Lepisosteus oculatus: one gene and its partner. Each later gene encodes a partner of the first gene's protein in a complex. Links are inferred from orthologs where the notes say so. Each region holds a gene or a part of one and is shown on either strand. Other genes may lie near its edges.

The links.
Region 2: nod2 (region 1) and map3k20a share a complex: the UniProt entries of both Homo sapiens proteins name them as parts of the signaling complex. The link is inferred for Lepisosteus oculatus from reciprocal best matches to the Homo sapiens genes NOD2 and MAP3K20.

What each region holds. Positions count from the first base shown.
Region 1 is NC_090715.1:2,168,590-2,178,378, reverse strand, and holds the start of nod2 (nucleotide-binding oligomerization domain-containing protein 2), read right to left. Parts: upstream 4,149-9,789; 5' UTR 3,644-4,148; coding exon 3,161-3,643; intron 2,483-3,160; coding exon 2,359-2,482; intron 1,429-2,358; coding exon 1-1,428. Other genes in the region: snx20 (sorting nexin-20), read left to right, coding at 8,581-8,737, 8,910-9,061, 9,671-9,789. UniProt on the Homo sapiens protein: Pattern recognition receptor (PRR) that detects bacterial peptidoglycan fragments and other danger signals and plays an important role in gastrointestinal immunity.
Region 2 is NC_090707.1:16,732,467-16,742,427, reverse strand, and holds the start of map3k20a (mitogen-activated protein kinase kinase kinase 20), read right to left. Parts: upstream 4,716-9,961; 5' UTR 4,478-4,715; intron 3,881-4,477; exon of another isoform or gene 3,613-3,880; intron 1-3,612. Other genes in the region: rapgef4a (rap guanine nucleotide exchange factor 4), read right to left, coding at 7,090-7,217, 8,083-8,137, 8,980-9,044, 9,483-9,570. UniProt on the Homo sapiens protein: Stress-activated component of a protein kinase signal transduction cascade that promotes programmed cell death in response to various stress, such as ribosomal stress, osmotic shock and ionizing radiation.

The DNA of each region.
Region 1 (9,789 bases):
CCAGCGAGGTGGGGGCCAGGCCGTACAGCAGGAGCAGACCCCGATGGCGCTGGGAGAGCAGCCCGGCTACGAAGGTGGCGGTCATCTGCAAATTGGGTGTCTCGGCTTCCCGGAGATCCCCCTCTGCTCCGGCGTCCTGACGGGCGCCGGAGTGCAGGCAGGGCCCGAGACACACGCAGGCCAGCGCCGACGGCTGCTTGCGTTGTGGGTGGAAGAGTTGCGGAATCGTGGAGCGGCTGAGGTTGTTGTCCAGCACAATGAAGAGACCGGCAAAGAAGCACTGGACTGTGAGGTGCAGGAACTCGTAGTGTTTGCCGCCCCGGGAAGAAAGGCTTTTAACAAGGACAAGGAAGCCTGCGAAGAGGTCCTCCTCTGTAACCCCGCACTGCTGGAGCTCCAGGTCCGAAAACACATAACTAGAGGACACAAGGCCACCCAAAGCCAACCTGCCCAGGTGCAGAAGTATGTGTGCATGATCGTGCATCCAAGTAGCCCCCAGGGGGCACTGCTGAGGGTGGGAGTGCTGTAGGAAGTGCTGAAGAATCATCAGGTAGACATCAGTGATGGTCTGTGGGCTACCCCCTCCCCGTCCCAGAAGCTCCTCGTGGCATTTGGAGACAATCCAGCAAAAGACCGGGATGTGACACAGCCCCAGGAGTGCCGTGTTGCCCCGCAAGGTGTCCATGACACAGGTAGCAATGCTGGGGTCACTGTGGTGCTTCTTCACAAAAGAGCTGATCCCATCCTGCGAGAAACCCCTCAGGGAGACTTCCTTCCGGATGTACTTTCTCAAAGAGGGTCCCACCACATCCGGCCGGCTTGTGACCAGCTTGCAGACGCCCTTCATCAGGCTGCCCTGGAAAAGGCTGAAGAGCATGGTGGGCACCGAAGTGGGCTGCGTCGGGGAACACTGCCCCTGCTCGTCCGTAAAGCGCATCCTGAGCTCATCCAGGCCATCGAAGGTGAAGAGGACCCTGTGGGGCTGGTCCAGGATGAAGTGGAATATCAGGTCCTGGTCAGCGTCCGGCCAGCAGCAGTGCTGGAAGAGCAGCTCCCGCAAACACAGTTCCTGGTGCATGGCGCTCAGCCGCCGGCAGCTGAAAGGGAACAGCAGGACAAAGTCCTGCAGCGCCGCCTCTCCAGCCCACAGCAGATGCAGGCGCTGCAGCAGAGTACTCTTCCCACTTCCAGCCTCGCCCGATATCAGCACTGTGTCCGCCTCCTTGTTCACGACCCCGACGGGAGACAAGATGTCCTCCAGGCCCAGAGGTCGCTGTGGCTCCCCAGAACCCTGCGCAACCTCCAGCACCCCTTCCGTGTAGATGTCCTCCAGAGACAGGTTCTCCATCCCACCGTACATGCTGAGGAACCGAGACTGGGCTGAGACCATGCTTCTCAGCTTCCTCTGGTATGTCAGAGGAACCGGATCTAGGAAACAAAGCCAGCGCACTGTATGTTTATCACTGCAACACAAAAATAGCACTGCTGAAACAGGTTTTGAGGAAAGGGAGTGATCACGATAAAGAAGTTCAAGTAGGCAGCTGTGTGGGCTGCAAAGGAACAGGTAAAGGTTAATTCCATGCTGAAAGGAAAAGAAAAATGACGCAATGTTTGGGCTGTGGAGCCTTTTTCAGATGCGACACTGGTCGGACACTTGAAGGAGGCTGCACGGACAAAACGATGAGTCTCTTTTCTTTTCCGTTCAGCCTGGAATAAACCTTTACCTGTTCCGTGATCATGTTAATGCTTATCAGGCTTTTAAATGAAATTGCACCAGTTTTGTCCAATATAACTAGTCCAGTGTTCACAGCACTGAATGGGAGAAAAAAAAAGTTTTAACAGGACTGATTTCCCCCCCAATAGATGAACACTTGGTTTGGTTGAGTCCAAGAACAGGTTTTACCAAAATGTTCCCAATATGATGATTCTGGGTGGATGGTGCGCACGATGGCGCAGTGGGGAGCTTTGCTGGAGCCCTGGGTTAGATTCTGGACCTGCGGTGCTGTCTGTGTGGCGTTTGTAGTTAGTTGTATATAGTTTGTAAACCTGGGTACGCTTGGGGTTTTGCCAGCTGCTCCAGTTTCCTCCCACAGTACAAAAAAACAAGTGCAGCTCAATTGGCTTCTGGGAAAATTGGTCCTAGTGTGAGTGTATACGACTCTGTGTGTGCCCTCTGATGGACTGGCATCCTGTCCAGGAAGTATCCTGCATTGTGTCTGCTGCATGCTGGGATAGGCATTGGCTCCCCCACGGCCCTGATTTGAATGAAGTGGCCAGAAACTGAAGCGATGGATTGCTTGATGAATGGAATTATAATGATTCGATATTAAATGTTGCCCACTCTGTTCCCAGACATACCTGGTTTGTGTGTGTCATCCGTCAGAGGCTGCGTGGGTCCTTTTCCTGTCTGCTGGATGTATGACAACAGGACCTCAGCTGCTGCCTCTCCCTTTGATCCGGCAAGATCCAGCAGTCTCCTGGCCTGCGCAACACAGACGCTTGACACCACCGGCATCTCGCAGGCTCCTGGTGTCCGGACCACAGAACCAAAAGCAGGCTCCAGGTGTCCAGACCAGAGAGACCCAACAGCAGGTTCCTGGTGCACGGACCACAGAACCAACAGCCGCCTCCAGCACATTCTTGACACTTGACGTATGTGTATGTACACTGCATTCTCTCACACTTCAACTGAAATGTGATTTGTGCATTAATCTGACTGCATTCAGTTACTGTTAGGGCACATATCTTCCTTTTAATGCTGCGGTATGAAAGCCATGCTCTGTCTCTCCAGGAAAAGGCAGTTTTGTTCATATTTAACAGATAGTATTACAGAACCACACTAAAAGAACACGTCTTTTCAGAAATAAGGCAACAATGACTGCTTAGTGCTGGATTTATTTATGTGAACTATCAATGTTTATATAAAGCATCATATCCCAGCTCAGGAATCCATCATGAAGACTGCGTACAGGACTGATCCCGTCAGACCAGACTTGTGAGCACAGAATTTCATAAGGCAGCAACATTGAGAAGCTAATAGCGTAATTTGAAAATCCTATGTGCACAGGAAGGTGTTGGATCCAGACAGATCTCTCAAATCCTGCGAAAAGAGACATGCAAAACTTGTCTGATGAAGTGCAAATTCCTCGGCTTCCCTTACCTGTTGCGAGGGTGTGTATATGGGCAACAGGACTTCATCGCAGTCATAAGCGCTGAAGCAACCTGCTTCCCTGAGGGTCCTCAGAGCCCCACCAGTGTTGCCATGGAGCTTCCTCACGAGACTGGGCCGCTCCCTCTGCAGGGTCCGAGTGCCAGTGGAGGGGATCTGCTCGGCTCCTCTGACCGGGCAGCTGCAGTTCCCCAGGGACAAGCCAGCTTTCTGATCCTGCGGGAGCACCTGGCCGATAGCTGTCAGCAGGAACTGGCAAGCCATCTCTCCTTTGCTCCAGAGGAGGTCAAGCAGTTCCCGGGCAGTAACGTGCAAGGCCTGCCCCGGAGCCCGCAGGCTCTCATAATCCTCCCCCAGCAGGACGTCCCAGGCCAGCAGGAGGTCCAACACGCTCTCCAGCCCGTCTGCCGCCCCCCCGCCCAGCACCCTCACCAGCTCAGTCCTCTGCGTCTGCACCAAGAGCTGGGCGCGCATGCCTCATCCTTCAGCACGGCCCTCCAAGACTCCCGCCAGACAGCAGCCCCACTCCAGCTTGCTGGAAGACAGAAGACTTCCACAGCACAGTTACTGACCTCGACTTGAGAAGGCAGTCGGACAGAAGCCCAGCAGGCGAAACTGACCTGATCTGGCTGCGCCAGTGGGCGGCTTGAAGTCGATTACTATTGCTGACCTCCTTGAGCTCTCTCAACAGTTCTGACACTACTGGAGCTCCACACCCACAGCAAAGTGGCGCTTGCAAAACAGCACAGGAAGCATCGCCTTCCTGGCATACAGTACTTACAGTGATGAAGAACTTCCCTTCGTGATGCAAACAGCTCCCTCAAAACGAAAGAGAAAATGCACCAAGCCTTGCCTTTACTACCCGGAGAAAATGCCCGACAGGCCGGGTTCTCCCCGTGTGCTCGGCAGACCTGTGACCCGTGAAAGCGCGCTCTCAACGCGGCAGACAGCGCGACTCACAGTACGTGCGACCTCCTGGCAAAGTCGAGAAATTGACCTACGGCAAAGAAGTGAAATGGGGAAGAGGTGTGCCAAAGGCGATGGGGGGTGTTCTTAAATTCAGTATGAAAATAATGTCTCCTTTTTTACTAAAGACAGCTGCAATCTAGCAATTTCAGATTTCCAAAACACGCCCCTGGACACAAGCCCAATGCTAATTTGGTGCAACCTCTGAATAGGTTGCTGAGCAGGTCACTGTAGAAGTGGCACAAAATCACCTGTAGGTTTTAATTGTGAAGTCTGACGGTCCTGTAGAACGCTTTCTGTTATTTTCGTACGTGCCAGTCAAATTGTTACCGGAGAATCCTTTTTCAGGTTAAATGGCGTCCCAAGACTTTTCGGCTCCTAACTACTGATTTCGTTAAATGTTTTTTTTCATGATAACTGGATTTTATTTTTCATCCGCCTTCCTTCATATCACTTTTGCCGGGGTCTGGCTGTTTTCCCCAGCTTCAGCTGAATGCGAACTACACAATCATTTTGGCCCGGAATAAAACATGCGCTGGTTAATCCTGGAGGTTCTACTTAAGATGTAAGGAATTGCATGTAAGAGAATAAAACCGCACTTTTAATTGTATTCACTAAAGATGTCAAAATGCGGGATTGACGTTTATCCCTCATAGAGTCTATTACACGAGTCTATCAACTCCTAAGAAGCGGTCTTCATTAAATTTTCTCAGCGTTGGAGTTCTGTTCACTGATATTTGTTATTGTGATTATATTACTATATTATTGTTGTAACACGTACAACAGTACAAATAAACACGCACGAAGTGTCAATGTTGACCGTAAAGGAGAAGCGTCTCCAGCAAGCGGCCTCGTGGATCTAGGGTGTTAGACTGATGACTGTGTATACTGTATATATATATATGTACACACACGCGTGTTTTACAGAATCCCTAAAAGATACTCCCTGAGAGGACAAACAGACGGAGAAGCCTTACTGGGGAACCAGGTCCGTGAGGGGCGGCACGCAGGACGGCATACAATCTGGAGACGCTCGTTAACTCGCTGCACCGGTGCACTGAAGGAGTCGGATAGTTTCAGCTTCACCGTCCGTTTCTTTTCGAGAATCAAATCTGGAGCCTATTTTGCGTATAAATAAGGTTTAAATCCAAACGTTTCTTTGACCAACATCGCAGACGTGGACAACCGAAACTAACATAAAAGGCAAATGCTGACAAGATTAAAAAATCCGAGACGAGACAATTTCTTACGTGTCAGCTGCATTCTTGTCCTACAGTAAAAGCTTCCAGTCCCGGTGACCCACACACACACCTGTTGGTTTTGTCCCAGCCGAGTCCTCAGTTATACAGTCAAACCCTCCATTGACTTAGTAGTAAAAAGATTAATTTGAACTGCCTGTTCCCCAGCTCTTAAGCATGTTGGAACTTGAACCGTGTAATTTCGTAAATGAAATAAAATGCAAATATTCAATTGAGGCAACTTCTGAGATCAAGTAAGACTTCGGTTCTCTGATGAAGGTGGGCTGGGATCCGCTGGTCTACAGTGATCAAACGACACCTTATTCCGTCCCGCCCCCACATACAGAAACAGGTGCCCGATCGCGTTTGGATTTCTTTTGTATCTAAACTTTATTATTACCACTTGAAGAGCAACACTGCTTTACTGTGTATTCCAGTGGTCCCAAGCATAATTGTCCTTAGAATATATTAAAACATGGTAATAGGGGAAGTGACTGTGATTTTGGAACACAGAAATCCAGGTGTGAACACTTGGAACATTTGCAATTAAAAACATCAGGAGAGCTGCTACTGGCTCATATTGACACATTTAAAGACATTTTTTCAATTCAATAAGTGGGGTTGGGGGGGCACTTACCATAGGAATCTCCAACCCTGGTCATTCTGAGCCTCAAACCAGATATTATTAAAGATCACCCCTCAATCACCTGTTATGTAAGGATTAGAGACACTTGGTTAAGTAATTGATCAATTAAGCAAGTAATGGGTCAGTGAGAGGACCACTTGTCTCGCTGAATGTCTTAAATACACCAGTTCCTTCAGAAACTGATGATGTAAAGGCTGCCTCTAAAGTCTGGACTGGGGCTTTTCAGGATCAGGGTTGGAGATGTCTGACACAGATCCTGGAGATCCTTACATTTACTTAGTTCAGGTCTCCCGTCTCCTGCATCTAAAGATTTAGAACACTTTGAAGTTATTGATCAAATTGAACAAATAGTTTGTTTAATGACCTTTTCCTTCACAAGATGAGGGGTATTCACATTTTTGTTCTAAAGTATCTTTTACGATACTTAAATTACCTTACATGGCCCACTGGACTGGAAAGTCAGCAGCACCAGAGCTGGCCTCTGGCTTTTTTAGCCTGCTTGTTTTAAGGGGTTGGTCCTGCTCTTGGTATGAGCCACTTTCCTTGGTGGGTCCGAGTGAAGGGAAGCGATTGCAAGATCTGACTCAGAAGCCAGCTGATTCATCTCTGCCCTGCACACACAAGCACCACTCCTTCCCTGCACACACAGACCTCCACCCCCTCTCCACAGTGTGAGCGCAGACCAATCACAGTACACATCGCAGACCAGCACTTCCTTCCTCAAAGCCCGAGACCTGTTTCTCTTTTTCTCCCCCTAGGCAGTGCCATTTGACAGAGTCTAGCGTGACCTTGCAGGGCCAGAACGCCCAGGCTAACAGGATGCTCACCTCCGTCAATATGGCATATTCATCCTTGGTAAGAGAGCGCAACACGTGAGCATGGTGTGGAACTGAAAACATTAACAGGAATACACTGGCACGGCAGTGCGGGTAAGCAGCCCAGTTTTATGTTATATTTCAGCTCCTGATGCAAACAGAACAGGGAGGTTCAGTGCTCACCAGCCAAGTGTATTGTAGGAGGTCAGAGTTCAGAGGTCAGAGGCCAGGGGTAAAACCCAGTTCGTCACAATTTATGCTGGTTTCAGACCCGCGCTTGTCCACAGAGGTGCTATACTACAAAGCCATGTAGAGCATCACTTCCTCATTTTACAGACTCGCCAAACTGTCAGCTGGGATACAAACAGAGAGAGAACCTTTGAGAGAGGAAGCCCAGTGTTTTGGCTAGACTGTGGATCAAGTGAAAGAAAAAGTAAAATAATGTTATTATCCCATAAAGGAGGAATTTTCAGTTAAGTACACCAACAGCATTGTTAATAGCAACGACTTCGAAAGGACGGGTACCCCCTAGAATACATTTGAGTTTATCTAGTTTCTCTGGGGAAACTGATTAATTATTCTTCAAACACAAAGCTTTCATTGTGGTTGTGTAGTTTGGATTCGTATGGGTTTTCATTTCCATTTGACCTTGACTGCAGTGGAGAGCTCAGCTCTGCCTGCAGAACTGCAGCTGTAGCTGGTTGATCTCTAGCCCAGTTGCACTCACTTATCCACAGGCTACAGCCTGGGCTCTTGCTGCGCTTCCCAGAGATATCCGCGCAACACGAATTTCTAAATTCTCTACATCACTCCTTTAAGAAAATGAAAGCACAGATTGATTTTAAAAGACCTCCGGATCTTTCCCCAAGTGCAGTTTGCATTTCTAAGTTGTTGTTTCCAATGGAGACCTCTAAAGACAAAGCAGTGCCTCAGAGAAATATTTCTAAAATTTTGTGCTCTCTCCCCTGTCCCATTCATGACACTGTTCTTCTTCTTTTATTCAGAAATCACTTACAGGATAATCACAGACTAATGGTTAGGAAACAACCCAATTAATCATATCGGAAACGTGCAGATTAATTTAATTGTCGACTGTGCTTCAAAGCTAGGCTTTTATGCATGTCCATATCAAGATTATTTGTAGTATATGAAATGCCCGTATTCTCCATCATAACATTCCAGTTAGAGAACGAGCAAAATTCAGATAAAATATGAAAGCATCACAACTCCTAGATGGCTATAAAATCAGAATGGTAACAAATTAAAAACCCTTCAGCTCATCACACCCGTTTTGGCTGCAAGATCTCATCCATCTGTTTCTCAAGGGTTCACAGGGAATCGGCTTCAATCCAGCATCTTGGTGGCTTGTTCCAGGCACCCATCCCCTGTTTGTAAAAGAGTGCTTTCAATTCTCAGTCCTCAGTGTGCTTCCTCATATCTTCCAGTTGTGCCCGCTGCTCTTTGCAATGAAAGTAAGACACTAGGACTCTGTATACAATATCTATTGACTATACTGTATGTGTCTCATGTCCTTTGCATAGAAAGTAAGACACTAGGACTCTGTTTACAATATCTATTGATTATATGTGTCTCATGTCCTTTGCAATGGAAGTAAGACACTAGGACTCTGTATACAATATCCATTGACTATACTGTATGTGTCTCATGTCCTTTGCAATGGAAGTAAGACACTAGGACTCTGTGTACTCTGTGTCCCATCACAGGGAGACCCAGACTGTTCTGCCAATGGGGGATACCTGTGATGATGGGCAGATGGGTCCCTGCCTGGACGAGGATTATGGATTGACGCAGCCGGCAGCGGAGTCTGACACCCGGACAGGGCACCGTGTCCATCATGCCCCGGCTTCACCACCAAGTCCCCAGCTGGACCCTGCAGCTCTCGGTTCGTGAAACACTTCGCCTCTTTAGAACGCAGTGCTTGAAGCCCAGGCGTGCTGCTGCAGAGCAGAGAAACCGCCGGAATACAGTGAAACACAAACTCGTTTCTAAGAGTCTTTTATTTTTGTCACTGTCTTCCGTGCTTGTGGCCGTGTGTCCGCATGTGCGCGCTGCAGGCGGGGATCTGAGCCCCAGCTCCAGCTCCTCCATGACCACGAAGGAGCTGCAGGAGTACTGGCAGGGGGTGAAGTCCCGGGAGAAGCCGGTTAAGCTGCTGTTCGAGATCCCCTCCGCCCGCATCGTGGAGCAGCCCCTGTGCAGATACGTGGTGAGCTCACTGAGGCGATATCCCAGGTGCAGGAAGGAGAAAAGAGGCCAGATTGGACGGTTTGCTCGCTGCTCGACCGCAGTGGAAATGGCTTTGAGGTTTGAAGTCTGCGTGGCTCATAAGAACATAAGTGAATTTGTGAAACAGAATGGGTCATTCGGAAAAACATAATAAAGAGTTACAAACGAGAGGAGGCCATTTGGCCCATCAAGCCTGTTAGCTCGTTAGTGAGTTAATGAGTAGCTGATAGATCCAAAGATCTCATCTGGCCAATTCCTGAAGAAAGTCAGGGTACCAGCTTCAACAACATGGCTGGGTAGCTGTCATGAATGCAGATCTTCTGTTACTTGATCTTCTTAATTCACACTGCTCTGTGGCGTAGCTACGTTTGTACCCTTCTGTATTCATTCTGGAAAGGGTTGATAGAATGACGATCCGGATCCCTTGTCCTTTTACCTGGCTCACTGGTGATCCTCACGCAATCCTCCCTCGGGACGGTAACGTCTCTTATATCCGAGTAGAGAGTGTGTGTCCTGGGGACAAATGCCATCTGGGTCTTGACCAGTGTGCCGGGCGGGGGTTAAGACTGTCTGTCCATGTGCGCCGCAGATGTACCAGATCGTGGTGATAAAGTCGGGCAGCTACGACGCCAAGCAGGTGACCATCGAGCGGCGCTACTCGGACTTCGAGCGCCTCCAGCAGACGCTGCTGCGCGACTTCAGCGAGGA
Region 2 (9,961 bases), on another chromosome or scaffold:
AGTCTCTGAATGCACCTCAGATCAATTGTTTCCCCATGTCAATGGCATTAATATACTGTACGGTATGAAATCTTTCAGTAGGTCATTCCGTGTTAAGTCTATCAAAATATTGTGAACATGTCATGATGCAGTATATTTGATATTCTGATGGAAAGTGGGAAAGTGTTAATAAATGCAATTTTATGTAAAAAATGTTAAATTTCAAGAGGAAACTCCTAATAATCTGACATGGTTGTTTACTATATACCTAGAGGAATACCAGCCCTTTCTCAGGTCTGTAAAAACACAATCCGGCCTAATAATTTTAAAATGCAAGTATGACTAACATTCACACACAAATATCTATTAGTCACAGAAACTAAAAATCAATATAATAGTAAAACGCACTTGTAGTAGTTCTGCGGAAAGTAGCTCAATATGTCATTAAGAGATCTTTTGCAAATGAGTTAAAACGTGGTATCAAGTTGAGATTCACACACAAGGAAGTCATACCATTGATCGTACAGGGGCTGGCCTTGCCTGGCTCTCATGCCACAGCTGGCACATACTGTATAGACCCAGGGCTTTTCCTGACCCACCCAACTCTTTTATCAGTTGACACAACAGAGAAAGCGGCAGCTTGAAATCGATAGGCCCCTCCTTCAAGTTTTACAGGAGGAAAAAAAGGCAGGTGTTATGGATATAACAACATTTCAATATTCAAAGTGTCAGCAAAGAAGGAGACAGGTGGTTTTGCTTTGTAGAACCTATTTGTTTGTTTTCAGTGTCATGTCTTAAATGTACTGTAGTTTATGTACTGCACGCTGGACTGGAGAAGATGCCTCCATCCTTCAGATGAGACGTAAAATCGACTTCCCGACTCTCTGTGGTCATTACAAATGCAAATACAGATCCCAGGACATTTCCCAAGAGTAGGGGTGTTAACCCTGGCGTCCTGGCTGAATTTCCTCCTGGCCTTTACCAATCATGGCCTCCTAATAATCCCCATCTATGAATTGGCTTCATCACTCTGTTCTCCTCCCCACTGACAGCTGATGTGTGGTGAGTGTTCTGGCACACTGCGGCTGCTGTTGCACGATCCAGGTGGGGGCTACACATTGGAGTCCCCGTTACCTGTAAATGCCTTTGAGTAGAGTGTCCAGAAAAGCACTATATAAGTAATATATATAAATACATAAACATTTTTTTTTCTAATAAAGCTTCATGAGGTTTTATGCTGGATCTTGACATCTGGTTAAAATTTCCTGCTTAAAATTTAACCCTACAACCAGCTACAATAATATCACAGCTCCTGGTACAGTACAGTATATGATGGATTTACTGTATTTTGATCCCTGATTCCTGATCACCCATGATATAATGAGGGGAAGGTGTATTTAAAAAAACACATGAGGCAGCAAGTGCAACATCAAACTTCTAATATTTATGGTACATGGATTTTATGGTAATTATGGCTTTTAAACAGGCTGCTCAATTCGGTTGTGACCAACAGGAAATGCTTTCATTGTCACACAGGGGAACCAAAGCTCTCCTGAGATTTACTCTGGGAACTGTGCTATCTTTGTAGTGAGTGAATTTTACAAACAGTTTCCACTGGTACTCAAATTCCAGGGTTACGTGGATATGGAGGAAATCATACTAATACTTTCTTGTACTGGCCACCGAATTTAACACTCGTCAGAATATGTCTCATGCAGTAGTGCCAATTAAGAGAAAATTACCCCAATAATGCAATAATGAGTATTATTTTTAGAAGTATCCTATATTTTACACTGCAACCAAATAAAAATGAAACAAGCTTGAGGAACACTAGTAAAATGTGAAAAATTATCATTTATCTTCTCCCTGTAATTAAATCTCAGTTTGTAATGTGCAAACTATTTTACTAAAACCTACTGATAGAATGTGACTGATAGGAACTCCACCTTAGTCAATACCAAGCTGTATAGTAACTGCACTTAGAAGGACTTTGCTGAGTTGCTCAATCTGTGACTCAACTACATTTTTCAATACAACACATGCCACCAGGGCTGGCAAACTTGAGAGGACAAGAAGTCCAAACGGTCTTCCTCCTGACAGCACCAGTCAACTCACTCATCACAAGTACGGTCTTTTAATGAAGCGCCACAGCAGTAAAAAGCCAATCTCACTTCGGCGTTACTGTGAGTTACTCTCAGCAGGTCAAGTGTGAACATCTGAACATGATTCACAGGAATGCATTAAAGGTTACAAACATCAAGAGGTCCTTCGGCCATCTAGCCCATGTGCTGAATGGTGAGGTACTGTAGGTTTTGAACCCATGCCTCCAGAAGAGGAGGCAGTAGACCCTCGTCTATCTCAATATACAGTACAATATGTAAGATGTGTCGATATGGCTCAGCATTGATATGCTTAGGTTTTCAGGTGAAATTCATTTTGCCAGTTCGGTCAATCAAATACCATTTCTCATTTACAGAGACACCCTGAACCATTAATACAGCAGGTTATTCCTGAAGCAATTTAGACCTGGGCACACAAACAGTGTCCAACGTGGGCTATGAACCCCAAACCTTTCAGCTGAGAATCTACAGCACTAAGCACAAGTCCACCCTTCGCCTCTAATTGGCTTTTACCTAATTGTAATGCTACGGAAAACAGAAATGCCTTACAATTTCTTATTCTGCCCCCATGTTAGCAAGCACAGCTATTTTCACACCTATTGAAGAAAATCTGGCACAAAAGTACAGACCTGAGTGGGAAATGAGTGTTTTAGAATGTGGAAACACTAGTGGTGCAAGCTTCTGTTGTATCTTCAGGATGCTAGGACTTTGGATTAAGATTTGTGCTCTTCCTAATTGATATCAGTTATCTAGATTCAGCTGTAGTTAGTCAACCTGTCAGGCTTCCAGACAATACAAAGGCAGGAGGATAAGAAAACACTCTAGAAACAGCAAATCAGGTTTCAAATGATTTAGATAAAATTCAAGACAGGGCAAACAACTGGGAGATCATGTTTAATGTAAGAAATGCCGAATACTACATACGGGTAGCAAAAAGAAAAGAGATATATAGATATAGTGCTGTACCAAATAGGAAGAAGCAAGCTGTAAAAATGACTTAGTTACTGTATGTTAACACATCTTCAGCAACAATGTAAGGATGCAATAAAAAGGCAAACAAAATGCTAAGATCCTGTTAAATACAGAGAATTTAAACCATATGATGTTATGTTAAAATTGTACAATGCAAATGAGTAAGCCCTCATTTAGAATATTATGATATTATTAATATTATGTCAATACAGAACAGATAAGACTATAACGGAACCCGATTCTAAAATCCTCAATTTCAAGTGGAAACTACTTGAAAGTGCATTTAAAACAGAGAATAGGAGACATTTCTTTAAACAAAAGACGGTGGGAATTTTGAACAAGCTACAGTACTCAGCAATGTTGTTGAGGCTAAAAGAACGGTTTCTTTCAAGAGCCAATTTCCAGATCAACTAGCATTAATCTATGGAACGGGCTAGATGTCTGAATGGCCAGTTCTCGCTTGTAGCCTTTCTCAGGTTCTTGTTTTAAGAGATATGCAAGTGAAATGGAGAAATCGAAAGCATGCTGATAAGTTCCTTACTTTCCAAATGCACTCTCTCCACAATTCAGCTGTTCCACGCAATCCTGTTGGCCAATAGCGTACTCACGTGTGCTGCCTTACGAACCTAAAATCCTAATTATACTAAAGGCTTTCATAAAGCTATACTGTAATCAACTGTTGCCGAAAAGCAGGCGTGTGTGAAGCCAGTAAGTTTGAGATAACTGTCGTTAAGGGCCATGCAGTTATAAGTTCTTGATTTCTTAAGGTAAGTGAAGAGGCGGCAGTCATCAGACCGGTATTTGTGAGCACTGACCAGCACTGACAGACATTTCATTTCCATGAACAACTTACCACGTGTTTACAGATCAGCCAAAGGCTCAGGCCCAAACCACATTTAAAAGATGATACAGTTCTGGTGTAGTGTGCTTAGTTACAACACCGATGTATAGTATTACAAAATGACTGCCCTCTGCCTCTTTCCTTCTTCCCAGCTGTCAAAAGACAACGTGAAACCAAGTGACAGATCTCGTCGAGTGTAGACACGTGACCACGAAACATTAAATCACCGACTACCCTTTAACAAATGCATCTTTCGGGAAAAAATGTAATTCATAAATATTTAATTTCACATCATGAATAATTGGATTCTAGGTCCTGACCCACAATTCTATGAAAATGTGCACAAGGCACCCAGACCGAAGTCTACAGTGTTTCTTAGACACGACCAGGATCACTCATATGTACAGTATGTGTGAGAGCTAACTATGCAGAATTACTTTTTGCTCTCTCATTAAGCTATTTAAGAGATTGCTTAGACAAAAATGGTTTCCCTTTCTACCGGAAGCGGACTCACTCAGAAAAACCAAGACCAAGAACTACCAAGAAATACCAAGACCACACATACCTCTTGTGTTAATAATATTCTGCAGGTCGAGTCGAGGCACGGCTTCCGAATCCGTAAATTTGACTATCCCACCTCGCAACACGATATGCAGAAACGAGATTTTCGAAATCTATGACGTGAGCTTTTTTTTTTTGTCTTCTACGATTTTAGCTCTTGCTTAACTTCTTCCTTAACAGGAGTGCACAACTTTTATCCTTGTGTCCGCCACAACGTATCGCACATTTTGATTGCAACAGCTCCACTTATCGGACAAAAATGGGAAAGGAAAGAGGTTCCTGAACCGGAGACACCTATCACGTTACTCCATGCAGCGCCTACAAATTGCGTGGGTGCTAAGTAGTTCAAACAACTCGGGCTCTAGGGCTGGGCTATGACCAAGTTGTAGGAAGTAACTGAAAGCTTGAAAATCAAGTAAAACTACCCGACTAAGAGAATAAAATGCGAAGTTTCTGCCTCAACATATATGCTTTAACAACAGTAACATTCGTTTTTATTATCAATTATTATTTAGAATGCAGAAAAGGACTTTCGACACTTGTTACGTTTTTTTGTATTTCAGACTTTCAGTGTTTTTAACGAATTATTAACAACTGTGGATCACGTCTTATATTTTCTCCCCACTTTGGAAAACCCGCTGCTTGCAAATGACCTGTGAGAGAAGTAACCCCAACAGAGAAAGTCATGGGCAATTAGAACATGAGCTCACCCCTCATGAAAGACTGTTCTCATTGTCTTGAGGTGTCTGATTCATACTGGCACTTTTACACCAGTCTACACTATACAGTATCACCCTGCAACTCACAACTGCCAAACCGCTATATGTCACGATCGGGATCCCTCCTCTTACGGGCGGTCCGACCCTTTCTATTTTAGTTTATTGTGTGCACCTGCAACCTGTCCTGTGTCCCATTATTAAAGCCCGTCGCTCTCGCTATTACTGGCTCAGCAGTGGTAGATGGACGCCCGGAAGCATGCCTACCAGAGGGTCCAGGTGAGACCCGACGGCATAGGCTTCATCACGGCGTCCTGGCCATCTGAGTCCGAGGCTCCGAGCGCCTGGCCTCGTTACCCTGGTTTTATTCCCTGTCCCTGTTCTGGACTACAGCAGGTGTTAACGCCTAATTCTGGCCAAATTCCCCCCTGGCCTATACAATCATGATGTCCTAATAATTCCCTTCATTCCTCTGTTCTCCTCCCCACAGATAGCCAATGTGTGGTGAGCATACCACCAGCATACCACCAGCACCTATGACATATCTTCAGCTTCTAACAGTTACATAATAAATGCTGGTCAAGGGTCAAAGAAACTGTTGTCTCTGAAGCTTACATAAGTCAAAACCAAACACTTCTTCCCTTTCCGGAGCTAAATTACAAACTGTGTTAGTGCAGGAGACAGTCTCTACCGCTTTCTTCATTGAACTGTTAAGTAATGTGTGATTCCAATTCACAACTTGTATGGTTGAATTGGTATGGTCCAGTTGACTAAAAATCTGAATCCTAATACAAACTACATGAAATAAATGATAGCATTTGTCACTGTCACATTTTCTGTGCCCTGTTTAAATTGTATTCCCAGCTTTTATTTCAAACGACTTTGTGGGGACTAATTCATTGCAGGGCAAAATTACATTGCAAAAATGATATTGTGAGATATGATGTTTTTCTGTAACAAAATGGGCTTATGTAAAAGTACTGCATGTTGCACGATCAGATGAGAAGCAGGGAAACATTTTTTGAGCAAATACATTTAATAGGTATATTTTATTTACAGAATACATATACAGTACAAAGCTATAAGACATCACATACATCACACATTCTCTACAGAGGGGGTGCAATCTGTTCTTTTTTCTTCTAGTATAATTAATTGCATGCTAAAGTCCACATAATAAAATTAATATATTTATCACCATATGTTAAATATGATGTTCACACCAAACTAAAAGATCTATAAATAACCTCCATATTTACAAAGCAACTTCAATGGTTCTGAAGGCAGAAAATGATTTCTTAGAAGGCGTTTCAAATTTAAAAAAATAAAAGCCTTTGTTCTGTGATAAGTCAGTAAAAAGCAAACTCAAGCTATACAGACAAAATGATACAAATACGGATCAAGATTAATTTGGATTTGGACAAAATGCCAGTGATAGTACAGCAGGTCATTATTAATCTAAATTAAAATTTAAGGGCAAATGATTGTAAGAAATCATTGTAAGTATTTCTGTTCATGAAGTCCCAGGACCTTTGGACGTTTGAAATGTACGTACTTGGTTTCACTTTTGCTTCTGAAATGTTTGCAGTTTAGGGATGCAGAGGCTCAGGCGGCAGAAAACATTTTCTGTTTTGTTTCTTAATCCTAAAAGGAAGTAGCTCACATACTGAAAACATGGGGATACCCAAAGCAAATATATTATCTGAAAACACACTAAGAAAGGAGCAGACGAATAGAAAAAGTGCTTCGACACTGAGGAACGGGATCATGGGATAGCCCAGGACGAGCCTCTGGGAAGGTCTCTGTGATGTTAATGATATCATACAAGAAGAACAGATTCCTTTGGGAAGTACAGCAGAGACACGCGCACTCTCCTCAAGCCCCTGGAGTGGCCACGCCACTAGTTCCTCCGGGGTTCCAGTCTGTGAGACAGCTGGGACAGCGTCCTCTGGTTATCAACCACATTCAGCTGCCGGACATAGCTCCGCACTTCCTGGTGGTTCTTATTAGCTAGGGAAGCATCTGGATCTGGGGAGAGTGGAAACGCAAAAATGGACAATTAAATCAAAGGGAACTGTAAAGAGAGCCGTAAATAAGCTGTGACATTTCTGAATCACCAGTCCCACGCACTCCCTCACCGTGGCGTCCAGGAAATGTTCTGCTGTAATTGAGGATGACAAATGAAACCCGTCCCTGCTATGTCTGATAACACCATTCAGTTACTTTCCTGAAAGGCTTCATACAGCAAAATATAAATCTAATAATAGATCTTTGAAGAAATTTAACCCCCAGACAAGCTGCAAATAGAGATGTGCTAACAGACTGTACTAACCTATGGATAATACCCTAAGGCACTAAACGATTACTCTTGGATAGTCCATTCAGGCTTGCCCCCAATAAATAATGTTGTCAGAAAAAGTGCAGTTAGAATAAGTTGCCCACCTGCCCTGACGTGCAGATACAATGTCTCATGATTCAAGATGGGCCCGTTCCATGGTGACGTCTGGCGTGTAGTTCGCTCGTTTATGTTGTTCATTTTTGTATTAAGTCCCTTTTTTTGTGTAACACATCCACGTGCAACCATCACCTGTTATTTATTATGTTTGTAATGTACCGTCTACATTGTGTGGTGTTGTACTGTATCGTCTGCTGTACTGTGTATGTCCTGAGAGGTCAGCATGAATAAGAATTCCAGTGGACATGTACAGATGGCAACACACTCCTCTTCTACTACTCTATTTTTTGACAAATAATTTTACACTATACTTATACAGTAAGGCAAGCAATGGATTCCATAAGATCTGACAAAACAATAGACAATAAAAGAACGTGCATAACTAAGAACAGAAACCCTAGGCTCAAGAGAGCTTTTAGGTTTTTGTCCGCGACTTACTGAAAGGCTGACTCCGACAGTATCTCACTATCCTCACTGTGTTGGCAATCATGCGCTGCAAAACAAAACCCAGCAGTGAATTCTTAAAAGGCTCTCATGACCTCCAATTACAGTTTAAGGCACCATACCTGTTGTTCGTCTGCTGTCTATCTTCAATCTCCTAACAACTTAACAGAGCTTCAGCAAGTTTGCAAAGACCAATGGGTAGAAATCGAACCATTCTGGTGTGCAAAGTTGGCAGAAACTCATCCCAGGAGACTCTGGGGCTTGTTCAATAAACTTGTCCAAGTTCACATTTATTGTCATATGTACCCGAGTACAATGACAATACTAAAGGCCAGTACATAGTCACTCAAAGGGGTGAATACTTCTGCAATTACCACAATACAGTTCTTCATTTTTTGCCTTAGTGTTTGCTACCACTTCAAATCTTTCACCCATAAAAGTGTTCAGTTTGATCATTCATGTTTTGATTTGAAACAGCCACTGGAGAAATGTTTGCACATTATTTGTAATTCAGTAAAATAGCACTACACTAGACGGGGAGGGTGTGGTGGCTCAGATGGCAAGGGTGTCTAGCTCCTGACTGGAAGGTCCCAGGTTCAATCCTAGGTAGGGGCAAGCAATGGAGCTTGCTCTAATTCCTCCCAGACAGCTCCCAGGTCCACTCAGCCTGCTTTCCAAATGAGCACCGGGGTTTATCCTTCTGTGGGTAATAGCCAGCCAGAGCATGATGCTGACCACATCACCACCACCTCCAGTGTCAGATGGTCAAGAAAAATGCTGGCCCTTGTCCCCCATTCCCCCCATAGGCCTTTATGGCCTGAAAAGGGACCTACCTAAAATGGATGGGGTGAATACTTTTGAATATGCTCAGTGGCAACATACAAGACTTACCATTTTTTCAAAATTGACAAGGCTGTCTATAAAAGTCTTGTTGCCTTCATGTGTAAACGTCATGTCTAAAGCAAAAAAAGAAAGATCTGTTAGGAACTAAGCCAAAAAATCTATTAGATGGACGATAAGGTACTCTGATGGTTTATATACAGTATAAAAAACGTTGTGATATTTAAATTTGATACTTGGGTAAAAAGATGCAGATGTTTTTAAGAACTGCAAAATACATTACCAAATTAAGTGGGTGCATGAAATTTACAAGCCACAAGTTTTACGGACATGAAGTATTAATTCCATTCTTTTGCCAACTACTCCGAACATTTTTGCTATCCTTCTGAAGCACGTATGTCTCTGTATATGCTAAGAGTCATTCCAAAACACCTTTTATATATTCTTTATATACTGTATCCTTTCCTCTTATAAAAAAGTTATAAGATTCCATGAATGTGTGGCAAGGCATGGTAGTATTATAGTGCAAGTGACCTTTGACACCAGCATCTTACCTTTCATGAGTAAAGGCATGAAGGGAATGATAGGAGGGTCTAGCTTGGCCACAGTCAGCCTATACGCTCTATGGTTTCTGGATGGATCCTGGGAAGACAGTTGACATGGCGATAGCATCATAAACTAGCACAGACAAGACCCCAAGCAAGATCCTACCGACAGCCTGTATCATGAAGGAAGCTACTATGGAGACTGGATTGTGGATAAACTGTACATTTTTAAAACAATTTCTTTCAAACATTAAAAAAAAACTGTCTGAAATGACAATTTCTTTAGATGACAAATTGCTATATTTTAAACTAACCGACTACCCATCTGTGACGGAGTCACTATACGGGTCACTGTTGTCGTCAAAATATGACCCAACGCGTGGAATTAGCTAGGATTTTGGTTTTGATTTTTTTCCCATTTTTTAAGGATTCATTTTGTAAAGCAAAGATAATGAAAGAGGAGCCAGGACCATCAAAAAAGAGGGTAA